Linked DNA regions of Nothobranchius furzeri. The protein of the gene in region 2 interacts with the protein of the main gene of each other region in a biochemical or structural test. Links are inferred from orthologs where the notes say so. Each region holds a gene or a part of one and is shown on either strand. Other genes may lie near its edges. The genes, in order: neuronal calcium sensor 1 and drd2a.

Region 1 (9,005 bases), on a different chromosome or scaffold from region 2:
CTTTATTTAGAGACTTGTTGAAGAAAATATTCAGAATGCGCAGTTTGTTGCTACCACAAGCGATCTCTGGTCCAGCTGCACATCAGAGCCGTATTTGAGCTTAACTATCCACTACATGAGCAACTGGGAGCTACATAGTATTTTGAACAAGTTAATGTTTGCACAATACGTTTGCAATTGACATGTTTGCACTTTAAATATGTTTATGATTTTAATTTATGTTAAGTTACTTGAAAAACGAGAAAAACTGATTTTTGTAATTGTTTCTCTCAGGGCTTTTATCATCTCTGGTGTGAGTTTAAAATATAAGTGTGTTAGCACTGTGTTGATTATCCCTAATATGAATAAATGTTTATTTATTCAATGTTTCTCTTCTTTAATACGCAATTGAAGTTATGCTATTCATGGATAAAAAATCGTGATAAAATATTGGAAAAATCGTGATATTCTATTTTTGCCATATCGCCCAGCCCTACCTCCGGCCCACACACACACACACACACACACACACACACACACACACACACACACACACATACACACACACACACACACACAGGACTGTCTCAGCTGTTATTTTCGTTAAGGAGTGTGCACGTACAGCATGCGCGCCTCGTGCACGAGCCTCCTATTGAAGCTGCCATTACGCTTTTTGCCTGAGGGGGCAATCGCGAACATAAAAATTCAAAACTCCGTAAAGTCCCTTTAATTGTTGTAGTGAAATTTGTAGAAAAAAAGCCACAATTATTCATCATTTTATCTAAATCATTTACAGTTATGCTGACAATCATATTGCTCAGTAGAAAACAGATGATTGAGCATCCCTGTAACTGGTAATCACACCAAAGATGTGTCAGTAATAGGACAGCAGTTATAGATATAGAACACACATGTTTTATTGCAAAAAATATTTAACATTTTTCAGGTATAAACACATTATTATTATTATTATTATTATTATTATTATTATTATTATTATTATTATTATTATTATTATTATTATTATGTGCTCTATCAATCTAAACAGGTGTTATTCATATTTTATTATCAGACGGCGGATTAGCCGAACCCATAAAACAACTGGAGGATTCAGGTAAAGTGGGTCAGCGCTGGATTTTGACGTGCATTGTGTCTTCTGCAGCTTGAATACCAATTAGGTCTTACTTTACATTAAAGCTGGGCTTTCATTTTCCAGCATATCTCCAGATAATTTAAATGTGAGAATTACATGGTTCTGCTGTCTCCTTGCCTTGCTTCTTGTTGGACTCTTTTCTTTTATAGCATCTGCAGCTCTCCGTTTCTCTGACTCTGTAGAGCTGGCTTTATTATCTCCCGCTAAGATTAAAAAGTGTGCATGAAGAAGCTCAGAACTGGCTTTCGTTCTTCATCAGAGCTTTTTTCTTGCCTTAATTATAGCCTAACTTCTTTTTTTTTAACCCCAAGCAGAATCTGAGCTGTACAAGCACTGCTCCCTTGTGTGTAATTGCTTTGCTATTGTAGTTTTTTTCTTCTGCTATTTCCTTCTTGCTCATGTAACATTCAATTTAGTTAAGAATAACACTCATCCTCGCTCCTTGATCTGTTCTTTAGACTCCATGACGATTGTTTTTCCGTTACGAAGGCATTCCAGGAAACCGCCTACCTTTGAGTGACTGTGCTTCAAATTGCTTATGAGATGCTGCTATATATAGGCTTATAGAGATGTTAAGTCGTTCTCGGGATGTGTCATTTCCAGGGCCAAGAGGAAGCTCTCAGACCTATCTATCTATTATACCTAATATCAAAAGAGAAGCAGAGAAGAATTTGATTAGAGTAAACCACCTTTGGCTTGCTATTAGATTAGGGCGATTGCCTTATCTGTAAATGAGACAAATAGCTTTCACCTTCTAGATCTCTGAGTCAGGGATACCTACTGTAGAGGTGAGGAGGTGGCTTCTTGCTTTCGTCACTGCAGGCCACTTGTGTTTTGATTTTATAGTTGCGGTGTAGAAAATGTTATTTTTATACCTCAAAAGATCTCTAAACTAGTTCTGCTTTCCAGGTACAAGGGCTTCATCAAGGACTGTCCAAGTGGGCAGCTGGATGCTGTTGGCTTCCAGAAGATTTATAAACAGTTTTTCCCTTTTGGAGATCCAACAAAGTTTGCTTCATTTGTCTTCAATGTATTTGATGAAAATAAGGTTTGTTATCATGCCTCTTGTTACTTCAGACTCACTATAAATAGTTTCTGTATAATTTTCATTAGGACATTGGGCCAGAGGATACTTTTGAGGGCTACAGCTTCTGTCTGTTGAATTGTAGCTCCAACAAATCATCATTTTTCTGATTAGTTTAAATTCCTTTATTATATACATTATATACCAGCCCCAAGTTAGATTAACTTGAAAATACACTAAACAAAATTTCTGGTCTCAGCAGGCATTTGTTAAGATTGATGCATTTTTTGGGTCCTGGAGATAATTTCTGATGAAATTCTAGAAAATTCCACCTTAAATTCTTAGAATTTTCCTTTATTACAATAAAACAACTTCATAAAGATGTCTGCCTGGGAGAGTGTTCACATTGCAATAGGTTGATTAGGAGTAAGTGGTCCCAACACACATATAAAGTCTGTACAGTTTGTTTTTAGTAGTGTAACAGATGTTTGTGTCTGTGTGGGCACATCCCCTAGGGATCCAAGTACATGATGACATGGCAAGTTTTAACAAGGCCAGCCTATACATTGGGCAGAAGAAACCCCCCATCAGCTGCACACAATTATTCTTATTGCGTTTACGTGAACTAACTATAAGTGAGCAGCTCCTGGGTCGTTGGTGAGCCCCTGTAGGTTTACTGATTCCAGATAAGTGGCTTTATGTTGGAAAGATCAGACGATCTCCAAACGTCTGACGTTTATCTGTAGTCTCATTAGCGATAGGCACCCTGTAGCTGGAGAATGCATTGATCTTAACAGTTTTTATGGCTTCTTTAATCGATGGTGCATGACTTCAGGATTTTCTGATCAGGCAGATGTCTGCTAGAGATAAAGTTAGCTGACCTCAAGGGCCTTGAGGCTTTTTTTTTCTCAAGGAAATGTAGGAACTCGTTGAGGTACAGATAGTCAGCTGTTGTAAAAGAATACAGGAAAATCTTTGGAATGACAGGAATTTTTCAAAGATCTGATGCCTTCAGGCAAACTTCTTGATTTTTGAATTCATTTTCGGTGTGAGCGGGTTTCATTTACAGCTGGACGCTGCCTGTTTTTTTATGATGTTGTTGCTTCAGGCCGCTTGATAAATGGTCAGAATATGAGCCACTAGTTGTTGTTTTATTTTTGGTTGTTTTCCATGCCACCAGGCTTTCTTCCACACAAATCATGTCGTCCCCCCCCAAAAAAAACCCTCTGAAGGACACAGTTCTTGAATATTCACAGGAAGTTAATGTCAAAAGAATAGTTTCTCCATTGTTTGGACAGAGTTTCAGAGATGGAACATTTGGAAGATACTGGCCACCAGTAAAGACTGGTTATGTCTGTGAAGTCTACGTTTTGGAAAATGAGCCAGTAGCATCGATCTTGCTAATGACTCAAAGTGACGTTTCAGCCTCAGAGAAGGCCAGGTGTGGGGCGAAAATAGCAGTTTCTGTAAATCCATTTAGAGTGAACGGGAACTATGTTAGTCATTTTGAAACAGAAGGGTTTCCTGTCACACTCTGTCTCTCTACAGGATGGACGCATTGAGTTTTCAGAGTTCATCCAGGCCTTGTCAGTGACCTCCAGGGGGACTCTGGATGAGAAGCTTAGATGTAAGATGATGGTCTACGCTTCTTCCTTTGTTTTTGTGAATTGAAGGTTTGATTGTGATGATCCTTAAAGAACAGCAGATTAAACAATAATAACCCAGAAGCTGCAGGGTTTTGCCTTCTGGTTTAAACTTGAAAAAGAAATTAAAAAATGCAACTTTAACAAAGCTTTTAGAATCACAGTAGTCCTCCACACCCATAGTGATAATACATGAGCCAGGTAAAACGTCTCCTTGGTGCACCAAAGCCTGTATTTAACGTTTTGTCTTCATACAGGGGCTTTTAAGCTTTATGATCTCGACAATGACGGCTACATAACTCGTGATGAAATGTTAAACATTGTCGATGCGATTTATCAGATGGTGGTAAGTTTTGGCTACTCCTTTTATTTTTGATCCTTCTCAGCTCTCAGTGAGCTCGGATGTAATTGAATTGTATTTTAGGGGAACACTGTGGAGTTGCCAGAGGAGGAAAACACACCAGAAAAGCGAGTGGACCGTATTTTTGCTATGATGGATAAGGTCAGTATTTAAATATTAAGAAAAGTAAAGTGTCAAAGACAGGAATACTACAGGTCTGTAGCCCATCATGAAACTAGATCTGACATTGCTGTGAGTGAACGGAGAATTATTAGTTTGCCATTTATAGGAATGAATCTGCCTTTGTTGCCACCCATGGGGGAGTTTAATTTGGGCACTGTTATGTTTAGAGCTGTTAAATGTACCCATGTTAGTGTCACTAATACTGCCTGCAGTCTATAAACATGGTTTATAGTCACCTACACCAGCAGCGCAGTGCCCACTCTGTCAGCACAGAGAATCCAATCAGTCTCAGTGAAAGATGAGACGCCGGCTGTATTTGTGTGTTTGGGGTTTTACTGGTGCCAACACTGGCCTGTAGGACTGGTTGTGCAGCTCTCACTCGTTTCTACAAGGACTGCAGCTTCTATCCAAGTTTACTAAGCTGAAAATCAGCCTAAAATAGGAGCTCCATGAGTCTGAGAGCAGCTTTGGCCCCCTGCTGGTGTTTTTAAAGAGCAAGTCACCCCCTACAAGAGTCTAACTCCACTCCCACTTCATGTTTGAAAAATGCAACAAATGCCGTTGCCTGGCAGACCAAGAGGGCGGAGCCGCTAACAAATACACACACACAGACTCACGACAGCATTGTGACATCATAATGTACCAGTTTACATCATAGCATACCTCTTAGCCAATAGCGGTGGCAGATTTAAATTCAAATACAGTGCATAGTTTTTACCTGACAAAGGCACAACACTGACGGTTTTAGGCAGAATATTTAAATTTTAACTAAGATGCACTGAAGTGCCAAATTATTGACTACACGTGTCTGCAGCACGATTAGACACTCGTTTATTTAGTTTATCAGCAAAAAAAAGTTGATTTGGGGGTGACTTGCTCTTTAAGTTAAACTCTTCAGTGTCTTCAGTTTCATGTTGTTTCATGTTGCAGAATTCCGACGGGAAGCTGACACTGCAGGAGTTCCAGGAAGGTTCAAAGGCTGACCCCTCTATTGTTCAAGCACTGTCACTGTATGATGGACTTGTTTAAGATGCCAGGTGAGTAAGGGGGTGGGGTTAATGAGCGACAACGTTTCAAGTCATGCTTTACTTTTATGTTAATAATGTGTACACCCGAGTAAAGCTTAACAAAGACCACAATCTTTGAGCTGAAATGAAAGGATGGAGGCAATTTGTGTTCTCAGTTTGTTTCTATGAATTATTCAAGTGGCCCACTTGTTTACTGGCACTATAACAGTCTTGCAGTGCTGGATGAAGGCTGAGACAGCCATCACATCTCACTGCCTAATGTAGTGCACTTGCTGCTGCCAATTGTTGCTGACGTCCTGCTCAGTGTTCTGTCAACTGTGAAGTGAGGACATAATGTATGTGTTCATAGCAGGGATCTGATCAGATGTTGTCATGCTTCTCTTGAACGCACCTAAACTCACTGTCATCAGGCAGCACAGTAACCCGTTTTACAACTTCTCAGATGGCTCCAGTTCTCCATCCTCCTGCCTCATTACACGCCAATGCAGCACCATCACTTCTGCAATGGGAGGAGGCATTATTTACCCCGATCACCCAAAAGAGGACAACAAATGTTCATCACACGACAAGATGCGTCAAGTAGCTGCTCATCTACAAGCATCTTCTCTGATGTTCCAGTAACACATGCCAACTATCAGTGCTTCTACAGCTATGTAGCACCACCTCCTCTGTGTTGTGGACTGAACATCTCTGAGGCTGTTCTCCTGGACAATCCAAGGATTCCTGCTGAGTTGTTGGTGTGCTTCTTGTCCACACTAGTGAGATGAACTTCTCAGAGGAACTGCTGCTGCTTCATGGAGAGACTTTTAATCCCCAACCTGAACAAGAGTGTTGCTGAGTGATGACATGAACAATAACTTAATGTTACAAGGCAGTATAGTGTGTATTATACCATGTAAATATAATTTATTTTCTGCTTTGCTGCATTTATGAGAATTTCCTCATAAATATGGAATGAATTTTATTTTTATCAAAAGTGTTTTGCACTGTATTTTCCAATTTTATTGTTATTGTTGTTGGATGATTCTTTTGACACATTCTTGACTGAAAAGGGTTTTTAGTTAGAGGGATGCTTCGGTGGCATGGTTTTCTATAGATTTTACTACGTTTGCCATACAGTGCATCCCATTGTGTTCTCTTTTCACTGTTAGCATGAGTGTTGCACAATTACATCCTGAATGGCACGATAAAGCAACACAGCAAACTGTCCCAGCTTTGCATCAGAATTGAGACTTTAGTGTTTCTTTGGCGAGCTCCACTGCCCACCCTCAGCTACACAGAGCTCTGGCTGTAAAGCTTTTGTGAGCGCTGTGGTTGCTAATGTGATGTTTGTTTAGTGTGAGACCAGAGCATGTACTGATGCCTTTTTTCTTACTTAAATCACTTATTTTAAAGAATTTAAATGTTTTATCAGCTTCTATGCCTTATGCAACTTTTAAGTTAATAATGCCATTTACCTGTTTAGTTTAAGAGCACAGAATAAAATGCATTTAAGTGGCTAATATTTCTATTACTGTATTTTTAGTTTTTAGTGATTAGAAGTGTTTCTTTCTCTTTTGTATAGCTGTTTGAATGGGTTTAATAGGCTGCTTTGTAGAATATTTATTCATTTTTTAATCCCATTGATGTAAAGACAGCAACCCATAAAAGCAGATGTTTGTGGGAATGGGATCTGGTCCAAGCCTTCCACTGCACTGTGCTCCATCCCTAGTAGTGAAAGGTGTCATATCAAGCTTTAGTGCCTGTTCTGCTTTGCAACACAGAATCTAACACTCCAGCCTAGTCTGTGGCGTGAGTCTGCTCTGTATGGTTGTGTAAGGAACAACATAAAACTGTGAAGTGTTAGCACTGATGGGTGAGTTAATGAGGCGTAGCGGCTTTTTGAGGTTGCTGAGTCTCCTCAGATCATCAAGGACATGGAGCTGATATCAGAAGATGGAACTGTCCAGAGCTTTGACCGGAGACTGTTTTGTCCCATGGTTCTTCTTTTGTATTTGCAGCATGTTGCTGGAACAAGTGCAGTAAAACACAAATGTATTTTGAAGTAAACTGTCAGCTTCTTGTCTCAAAAAGTCTCTGGGTCCCCACCATCTTTGGGAGAAGACAACTAATGATTTGCCTACAAAAACACATTACTTTGATTATCAGTATTTCCTTCAGACCAAGTGTTTATTTCTTGGTGTTGATACAGTTTTTGCATCACACTTAATATAAACATTATTCTTTATAAAAGAGGTTGTTACTGTAAGATGTTGCTCCCTGTCTTCAGCTTCATGTGCACGGAGTTGTTTGGGACTGTGTCACGAGGGGTCCATGCACTGCTAAGAGAAAATCAAACTGTAATGGGGCGCTGGTATTTGAGTCTCCTCACTCGGTGGGGTCGAGTTACACTCAGGCGCATCAAAAGCAGGTTGGGTCTTGGGAACCTTTTAATACCCATCTCCGCCCCGTTTGAAGCGTCAGAGCAGCAGCCCTCCGGGGGATCCCTGCGCGCAGCCAGTCCGCGCGCTCCTCCAAACTTTACGCACGCATGTCCTGTGGAACGACTTAAAACCGGATTTTGATGCGTTTTAACCGAGTTGCGCCGGTCCACAAACTTGTTCTATGTACCCGGGCATCCAAAGGCTTTGAATTAACACTTTTTTTTTTTACAAAGTTTCTCATTCTTTTACTGTTTTTTATTCAATTTTTGTTTTTAATGTGATTAACCTCATTCCAGCAGACAGATGCGGTAAATATAGGGACTGAAAAGATGACCGGTGCCTTATTGAAGTGCCTCTTGTTGGTGCTCCATGTCAGCGCGCAAGGGCTCTTGGGAGAGTCCTTGTCGCACCCCCGGGTTGACGAGGGCGATGAATCCGATGACAGCGCCTCAACCCTGGCCTTTGTGTTCGACGTGACCGGCTCTATGTACGATGATCTGAAACAGGTGATTGAGGGAGCCTCGCGGATCCTGGAGAAGACTCTCAGCAGAAGAACCAGACCCATCAAAAACTTTGTCCTGGTTCCCTTCCACGACCCAGGTACCATACACAACCTTAGCTTTTCTTTGATTTTTTTTTAAAGAATGAGGGTTCAAAGAAACAACATTGATCTAATCAGGCATATAAAGCACACTCCCTTTTCCACAGATTCTGAAACTATCATTTAGTGTTTGTAGTAAAAATTCAGTAAAAGCTACACATTTGAAAAGTAATCCATCCTGTTAGGCAGCACATTTAACCCAAACTGATAATTGTTAGAGTTACAGGTAAACCCCCTCTCCCGGCAGCATCTGTCCTATCTGGTGTGGCTTCAGCTTTCGAATAAGAGTGCTCCAGTCCTGTTTGTGCTCTGATGAGAAGCATATGCTGACTGCTTGTGTGTAATTACCTCAATCACACACACACACACACACACACACACACACACACACACACACACACACACACACACACACACACACACACACACACACACACACACACACACACACACACACACACACACACACACACACTTCTCAGCCTCCGGAAAACCCTCACAACCCCCAGTTTGGATAGCCTGCAGGGGGGCAGATTTAGATGGTGGGGGGCAAACCCCACACATCTTGTCTGTGTTTAATGTGTCCTGCCCTTGGGGACTTTGTAAACTTCCAAGATTGCAAAGAAGCAGC
Region 2 (8,363 bases):
CACTCACAAAAGCCCTGCAAAAAAATAAAAATAAAAAAATCTTTCTTTTCAGGGCTTCTATCGCTCTCTGGTCTTCCTGTTAGTTTGCTGTTGTGCTAGTGTTTCCTGAAACAGGATGTTGCTGTCTTTGATTTGGTTTGAGGCTTTGGAGAATAATAATCTACTGAAGAAAAGTTTACAGAATTATTTGTTTTGGCAAAGTAGCTTCCTAAAAAGTTTTGGAAATATGTTTTTAAATTCAAACTGTAATTGGGTATAGAGATAATATTTTTGTCGTCATGCATTTGGCACATCATTTTGAACAGAGGTAAGGCTGGGAGGCAGGTGAAGTGTCTCGCTCACGGATGCAACAGCAGAATGAATGACCTGGAATCAAACTGGCAACCCTCCAAATCACTGGAGGACCTGCTTCACCTCCTGAGCCGCAGTTGCCTACTGGATCAACATCTAGTACACTTTTCTTTTATGAAGCGTATTAGAAATATCTCATCAGCCTTCATTTAGCCCTTCACATTAGAGCTCTCAGCATCACCTGTTTTTTCCACTGTGTGCCACGACCGTAACAAGGTACAAAAAGAATGTTGTTGTAAAATTCCGATGATTACATTAAAACCAGTTGTCACATTTAAGAGGAAAATCATAATTCTTTAACATTTATGAATCAAGAGACAAATCTGCCTATCGATCTCCTGCTCCATTTGTCCCTCACTCGTGAACAAGTCCCCAAGACACTTAAACTCCTCCCCTAGAGACAGGACCTCGTCCATGACCTGGAGAAGGCATTCTACCCTTCTCCGATTCAAGTCCATGGCTTTGGATTTAGACGGGCTGATTTTCATCCCAGCTACTTCACAATCAGATGTGAACCGCTTGTCACATTTAAGGGGAAAAATCCCCATTCTTTCACATTTATGAACCAAGAAACAAAGTAAACAAACCAGAAAAGGTAAAAACATCCATTCATCTAGCTTTATGCATTTATCTAAGACTAGGTTGCATGAACAGTTTAAGAAGACCTCACATGACCCTTCTCTTTCCAGCTCACCCAGTGGAACACCAAGTTGATCTCAGGACATCTGTGAGGTATAAGCTCTTTAGAAGTCCCATGTCTGCCTCGTGGCTACCTTTGGGTGAGACAGGGGCGGATTTAGGACTGAAGAAGATCCGGGGCTTAACACACACACACACACACACACACACACACACGCACGCGTGCACACACACACACACACGTGACACACACTAGTCAACATCATATATATTTGTCTTGTACCACATAATTTTTAATCTGAAGCTACATATTAAGCATATTCAGGGCAGAATATTGTTCCTGTTAGTGTTTAGTGTGAGATGATAGTAAATATTCCCTTTCTTTCTCCAACAACTTTACCTGATAGTAAGCTAACTTTAGGCAAACCAGCAGCACAACAAATATTTTCAAATAAGACTCACAAACCTGAGTCAACTCCAGTCTCATCAAAGCTGGGGTTCTGTCATTGTACTTTTTGTCTAAAAAACGTCCTTATGTCCATCTTCACTCATGCGTTTCAAGCAGAGTGTAGAAGAAACCAGGCACTGCAGAAGAAGCCGGCTGCTGAAGGGCTTCTTCTTCAGTGGTGGAGTCTCAGGCAGGCTGCATACAAACTCCTGCTCGCTGCTCCCTCTCTGTTGGACTTTGGTACTGCACGCTACTTCCACGTTTGAGATCCGGGGCTTTTCATAAAACACTCGGGGCTTGAGCCCAAGTAGCCAGGCTTAACGCCACCCCTGGGGTGAGACATGTCTGAATCATCTTATTGGAACATATCCGGGAGTCATCCTTACCAAATGCTTACTTAAACACCCAGTTCACCAATTTTTCCATGCATTTTCAGTGATCTCTAGCATATATGAATGTCTTGTGAGCCGATACTTGTGGAACATACACTCTGGCACTCCTGCTTCAGGAACTGGGCAACAGCTGAGTTGAGCTGAACACAGCAGTATTTGGAGTCTTATTTCCTGATATTTGGACATCTAACCTCTAATTGGATATCAGCAACACGGCTCTACCACTGACTGCTCTGCAACGTTGATGTTTTATCTCCACAAATAACAAAAGTCTGAAGAAGTTCTGCATGTTGTGAAGTTGCTAATGCTAATGATTTGCTTCTATTAGTTGAGACATTCTCTACTTTTTCCAGGATGCTAAATCAACAACAGCCTTCCCCGTCATGAGCCAAATTAGGTGAATCCACGAATGCTAATTCCCAATGTGACGTGCAATTGTCAGGATATTCCAACCTGAGTTTCCCCATCTTTTTCTCCAGGCCTCTACTGCAGGAAGTAGTTTTGAAGACTTCGCATTCAGCCTGCATGTGATGGTCAGAGTGACTGATCCTATTTCAAAAATAGCAACTTGAAAAATAAATGGTTTCTCAGTGAACATGGCCTTTGAGCTAAATTGGCTCCTTACAGCGTAGAGCAGTGCTGACTCAACTCTGAGCTACTCTCAAATAGCAGAATCCCCCTGTCAATGACTTTTTATGGTCTTTTGCATTCTGGTTAAAAACCAATCCTCACCCAGATGTGACTGTTGGTGACAAATAGCAAAATGTGCTTGTGAAGGTGGTTTCAAAATTTCTCGTAGTAGTTGAGTCGCGGGGGCTTGCAGCTGTGCCGCCTGATGCGAAATGTGTTCAAAAGTTTTTCCATGACAGATGTTTTCTTAAAACAGTGATAAAGTCACTGTGGACCTCTGCATCCCACCTGGTTTCCTTCTTTTAATTTACAAGAAATGTGAATGAACTCTGACCCCTACTTCACACTGGAGGCCTTAGGGGAGCGGAATGGCAGCGGAGCAGTTTACTTGTGAGTTTCGCTGCCTGTTAGTACACACCGGGAGAATCTCAGCCAAGGAGCGGCGTCTCTGCCGTGCTCCTAGCTGGACTTGCAAGACCACAAAATCCCTGGAGGCTTCAAAGTTTACAGTTTGCTTATGTCATCCGCTATTAAACCAAAAAGAAGGAAATCACAATTGATTTCACTGATGTCATAAATGATGTTTCTCTCCACTGCCAGGATTAAAGCCATGAAAAACGCACTGCTGCACTTTTAGAACGATGCTGTGAGTAAATAAGACTTTAGGTCACATGTATTGATGTAATCTACAAACATATGAAATTGCATCACTGCAGCCTTTCATTTTGAAAATTAGAGGTTTTACACTGATACCATGTGTGATTCCCTGTCTAGTCCTATGTTAACTGCGGAAATTGATGTGTCTCAGAAGCGGTTCGCTGCAAAAATAGAACCTGATCCTATCTTTAGCAGAGTGGTGCAGCGAGCCGCTTCTGACATGTGCCTGAAAATTTCTGCATCGCGGCTAGTTTGAATCACCCCCATAAACTATAATGGATTGTATTTGAAGCAGCAATGTTTTGCTGCCATTCTATGACGCTGATGCTTCCAGTGTGAAGTAGGGGTGAGGAGATGTTGGAGACAAATTTGGAAAAGATACACATCTCATCTGCAGCCTGTTTACCTGCCCTTTTACTAAAACTACTAGCAGGTCCTTTCCTTTCATATTCACATCAAATGTAATGTTTCTGTTTATACACTCAATGCTGTTGTGTTCAGTGCTGTATGCCAGATCGTAGTTTTCAACCCAATCTCAGTTTGAGCAAAGGTAATAGAAGAAATCTGGAAGGTTGTAGATAACAATGCCTTAAATGTTGATCTAAATATGCTGCAATATATGTCACCCTGAGCAACAAGGATTTACTGCTTGGAGCTTTTATTTCAGGATATTTTTCCTTTTTTTTTTCTTTTTACCAAATTTACCTCAGTCTTGCATGTAAAAGGCCTCGGGAGAAGCTTCAGGAGGTTCACACATCGTAATATTTAAACCTGGAGGCAGCAAACTCCACAGGTAGGTCATTAGTTTGCTTTGAAACAGTTCCACTGCAGAAACACGCTTGTTAGCACCAACATTTATCATATCAGTGACAAGTAATTAATAAATCATATATTGTAAACATTGCTATGTGGAACTTAACATGGGTATTTTATTTTTTGGGAATTCTTTTGGTATTTTGTACATACATTTTTAAAATTTTTTTATGAAAAGTCAAATAGAGGAGTGGTGTAGCATGCATCACATTTCCATTGCAGGCATATAATCACAGTTACTGTGTTTTAAAACTATGTACATTACAGCAAACAAAATAATAATGATAAGAGCTTAATTTATAAAACTGCAAAACTGCAGATATTGGCATCGTCACATTTTACAGAAAGTTAATCTTCTCTTCGACACACATTCCCCTCAGTGAGAGAGCTGATTAACACTGCAATGAACACTGATGTGATATTTTTGGGATTTCCAGAAGTTTTTTCATAATCATTAAAACATAAAATTGACAGACACACACACACACACACACACACACACGCACGCACGCACGCACGCACGCACACACACACACACAGAAAATCAGTTTGCAACTTGCATGTGTGTAGTTATACACAGATGGCTCCTTACGTAACAAGCACAATGACTTCGGAGAACAATGTTACTTTTTTTTCTTCCACATTGTTACAGACTTTTCTTGTTTTACATTCAGTTATTTGGAGAGCACAACTCCTCAAACAATTCACACACAGAGCCAACATGCCTTCCAAGGAGACACTCTGCTGTTTTTCTTCTTCTTTTCTCTTTGTTTCTTAAAACTCCGATTGCAGTTTTCCCATGTGGTGCATTTTTTCCTGAACAGGATGAGGTATTTGCCAGAAGAGATGGCCTAACCCTTTTTAGTTTTCACTTCTCCTCCAGTCAGATCAGTAAGAGATGCAGCAGCTCAGCAGTGCAGGATCTTAATGAACGCCTTCCTGAACTCGATATTAAAGGTGGTGTATATGATGGGATTTACAGCGCTGTTCACGTAGCCCAGCCAAGTGAACGCGTTATACATCTCAGCGGGAACTTTGCATTTGGTGCAGTGGGTGTTCAGGATATGTGTGATGAAAAATGGCAGCCAACAAATGATGAATACACCTGAGGAGATAAGAGTGGAAAAAAGGGCATGAGTTGGAGAAAAACAAGGGAACGGGGAAAACGCCCTAAATCTTAAACACGTGTGTGTGTTTTCTTGCATCATTGTTTTAAGATCTTTTAGGTTTTTCCAATTTTTTTAGATGAAGATAAAAGCCTTCAAATAGACGACTAATTACTACTAGGACCGCTCCTTGTGATTAGCTAGAACCAGATCAAATATTTGGTTTTCATCAGGTTGAGCTTTGTTCTGTTCTGGTGTGATTTTATGATTGTGATCTGAGCTCAATTTAAACAAAACACAGAATGATTTGAACAAAACAGGAAGTTACAAAAGAAATGTTTCAACATACCAAGAACAATGGCTAACATCTGAGTAGCTTTCTTCTCCTTCTGCTGGGAGATCTTTCTCTTGCTCATGGTTTTAACAGAAGTCTGAGTCTTGCCATTAGGTAAGGCTTGCGTCTGGAAGGTTTTGGCTATAACAGGCGCTGGCTCTGACAGAGCCTCCTTGGGCTCGCCATTCTTCTCCGCTTTGTGGCCCTCCTCAGGAGGTGTGGGAGGTGTGGAGGTGGGGCTAGCATTGGCCTTGTCAGGCATTAGCTGCTGGTGGCTGGTGGCCGGAGTGTCTCCAAGAACACCCTGTGCCTGATGTTTCTGCTTCTGGCTGCTGCCACTGTTGTTCAGCTCATCTAGCTCCAAATCTTCCCCCTCAGTGGCCGCATCTTTGATAAAAATCTGAACATCAGCAGCAGAACACAGATTCAGATGATCATTTTAACTAGATTACAGGCAATAGATATACCACACGTTTGTGTTTTGTTTCAGCAAAAATGATCTGAAGGGGGAAATAATTGTTCTAAAGGGAAAAAAGGGGAAACACACCACTTTCTTCTTGTTCATGGGTAGACTTCCATTAGATTTAACAATCATGGTACACAACCTCACATCCTCTGGATGAGTGCACTTGTCCTGAAATGGAAAAAAAAAATGCTGTGTCATGCAAGGAGAGTACAGTGTCAGAGCCACTGACAGGAGGTTGTTTAAGAACAGAACAGTTGTGTCTTTCAGATCAGTCAAGGGCAGAGCTAAAAAAAAGATTCGTTTTTTTATTTAAACACCAATTTATTCACCCGACTAAGTTTTCAGCTGCAAAATGACATTTTCGTTTATTTTACCAACATATAAATTAATGTAACAGTTAAAGGAGACATAACATGCTTTTAAGTTATTCCTTTTTACATCTAAATCCTTCAGTTGGGGGTCTAAAAACAGTGGAACTGCAGTTCTTTGGTCTGATTTCCTCATTATTGTTGCTCTACAGACCCTCATCTACCCCAGTTCTGAGGAGAGTCTTGAGAACGAGCCGTTTTGGGGTACTGTCTCTTTAAACTGGAGGAGGAGCCGTAAACTCCGCCCCCTCCATAGTGCAGTCCTGTACTCTCCTCCCCCAGTCGGACTTTGTAGTTCTATAGAGAAATCATGATTTAGAATAGCAGATTTAGCATAGCATATTAGCATTTTTAAACCACGTGGGGAGAGTAGTTCATCAAGCTGTTTCATGGCTGCTAACTCTCTCATGCATTTGTCTGTAGTCACTCACACACACCCGTCACGGCCGACGGAGGGACAAGCGAGCACGCAAACGCGCGCGCGCGCGCACACACACACACACACACAAGGAATGCTGCTTGCTTATTTCTGTAAAAAATGTTTAAAAAAATGATACAGCTCATTAAAACACCATTCAAAGAATATATTTTATTAAGATCTCTATCTATATACATACATATAATTATAAATAATTTTATAAGTAGTCTTATTTTATATTGGGTGTCTTAATGGCTGAAAATGGATAAAAAGCAGTTACATTTTAATTTAAAGATTTGAGATTCTAGTCAAAAATAAAGAACATTCCTCCAAGTGTTCTTTAATGTCATCATTATAATTCTAATGCTTACAACTTTGTTTTTATTGTCTGCAATGCGTAGCCTATATCTTTATTAAATGTGTTTAGCTGTAAAGTGGTAATTCTCTCTAATGTGTACAGAGAGGTGGACATCAGTGCTGCAGTGAAATTCCCAAGATCAGTCTGCTTTGCTAACAAATATAGTTAAATCTTACCTGCATTCTAAATAAATACCGTTAGGTGAAAACATCAGTAGGCATTGAGTTATTGATACAATCCCTAACAGCCAGAATGGAAGAAGAGCATGCTGGGTCATCCTGGACCTGAGCCTGTTCTGTGTATTTACCTACAGGGTGCAATAAATGTCTACAAGGCTGAGTTTGGACCATTACATCTAAAAGAAAGCATACAATCAGTGATTTTTTTATTGTTTACATTAATATACAAATTTTCTAAGTATTAACCTCACAGCAAATAAGTAGAACAATATAATAAACAGGCTTTAGTAGTTAAAACAGGCGTTGTGCACACAGGTGCTTTGTGTCTCGGTGCTGGTGGTCTAGGTCTCAGAGTTCCTGTCCTCCTGCCGTCTTCTGTTGTCCTCAGGATACGGATTGATGTTTCCTGATGATGAGGGAGGGGCAGTATGTGGGCTTCAAACTGGTCCTGGACAACAGTGGGAGACCTCCGTTGTCTGAATACTGAGACCAGAGAGTTGGTGAGATGCAGATCTTCTCTACCTCATCTAGAAACGGAGTTGGTTCAGGGAAAACTTTTCCAAAGACCAGTTCCATGATGTCATCGCCATATTCTGCAATGATAGACAATAACTTTAATGACATATTTTGTTTACAAGCAGCTTTAGGAAAGTTGTTTCTTTAGCTTTCATGTTTATAGTCACGTTTGTGTTTGTTCACAAGTTCACTTTGCTGCAGTGACTTCATATTTTCCTACAAATGTAATAAAATAGTGACACTAAAATTATACAAATGATTCCTTATGAAAGGAAGCTCATTAGAGAGCGGTGCAGACACTCACTACATGCTGCAGCTGTTTTTGTAGGCCAGCTGCTGCTGAATTTGGGGAAAGTTATTCTGCACACATCCAGATCAGATGGTCGATTACAGAAAATAATGTAATTCAATAATTTCTAAACAGACTAAACAAGTAAAACATCAAATAAATCACTCTGCTGTCATCAGACGGAGTGATTCAGGGGGTGAGGTGTTCTTAATGATGAGGGTGGCTGAGGTGTGTCATCACTCACTTTGGTCTGGTCCAGACCGTCTCTTTACTGGTGGGTCTCCTTCCTCAGTAGGTGACGTGAAACGCCAACATCTGAACGTTCTGTGTTCCTTAGAGGAGAAGAAAAGTAACATTAGCAAGCTGGCTAAATTATTTTTTACTAGCATCTCAAGGACT

The links.
Region 1: the proteins of drd2a (region 2) and neuronal calcium sensor 1 form a complex in vitro, tested with the Homo sapiens proteins (2 studies listed by BioGRID, with this or other methods). The link is inferred for Nothobranchius furzeri from reciprocal best matches to the Homo sapiens genes DRD2 and NCS1.

What each region holds. Positions count from the first base shown.
Region 1 is NC_091757.1:35,624,249-35,633,253, forward strand, and holds the end of neuronal calcium sensor 1, read left to right. Parts: intron 1-2,041; coding exon 2,042-2,180; intron 2,181-3,704; coding exon 3,705-3,783; intron 3,784-4,056; coding exon 4,057-4,145; intron 4,146-4,223; coding exon 4,224-4,301; intron 4,302-5,252; coding exon 5,253-5,351; 3' UTR 5,352-5,359; intron 5,360-5,792; 3' UTR 5,793-5,989; downstream 5,990-9,005. Other genes in the region: hmcn2 (hemicentin-1), read left to right, coding at 8,103-8,373. UniProt on the Homo sapiens protein: Neuronal calcium sensor, regulator of G protein-coupled receptor phosphorylation in a calcium dependent manner. Directly regulates GRK1 (RHOK), but not GRK2 to GRK5. Can substitute for calmodulin. Stimulates PI4KB kinase activity.
Region 2 is NC_091753.1:39,796,318-39,804,680, reverse strand, and holds the end of drd2a (dopamine receptor D2a), read right to left. Parts: intron 6,005-8,363; coding exon 5,918-6,004; intron 5,771-5,917; coding exon 5,386-5,770; intron 5,036-5,385; coding exon 4,839-5,035; 3' UTR 3,759-4,838; downstream 1-3,758. UniProt on the Homo sapiens protein: Dopamine receptor whose activity is mediated by G proteins which inhibit adenylyl cyclase. Positively regulates postnatal regression of retinal hyaloid vessels via suppression of VEGFR2/KDR activity, downstream of OPN5.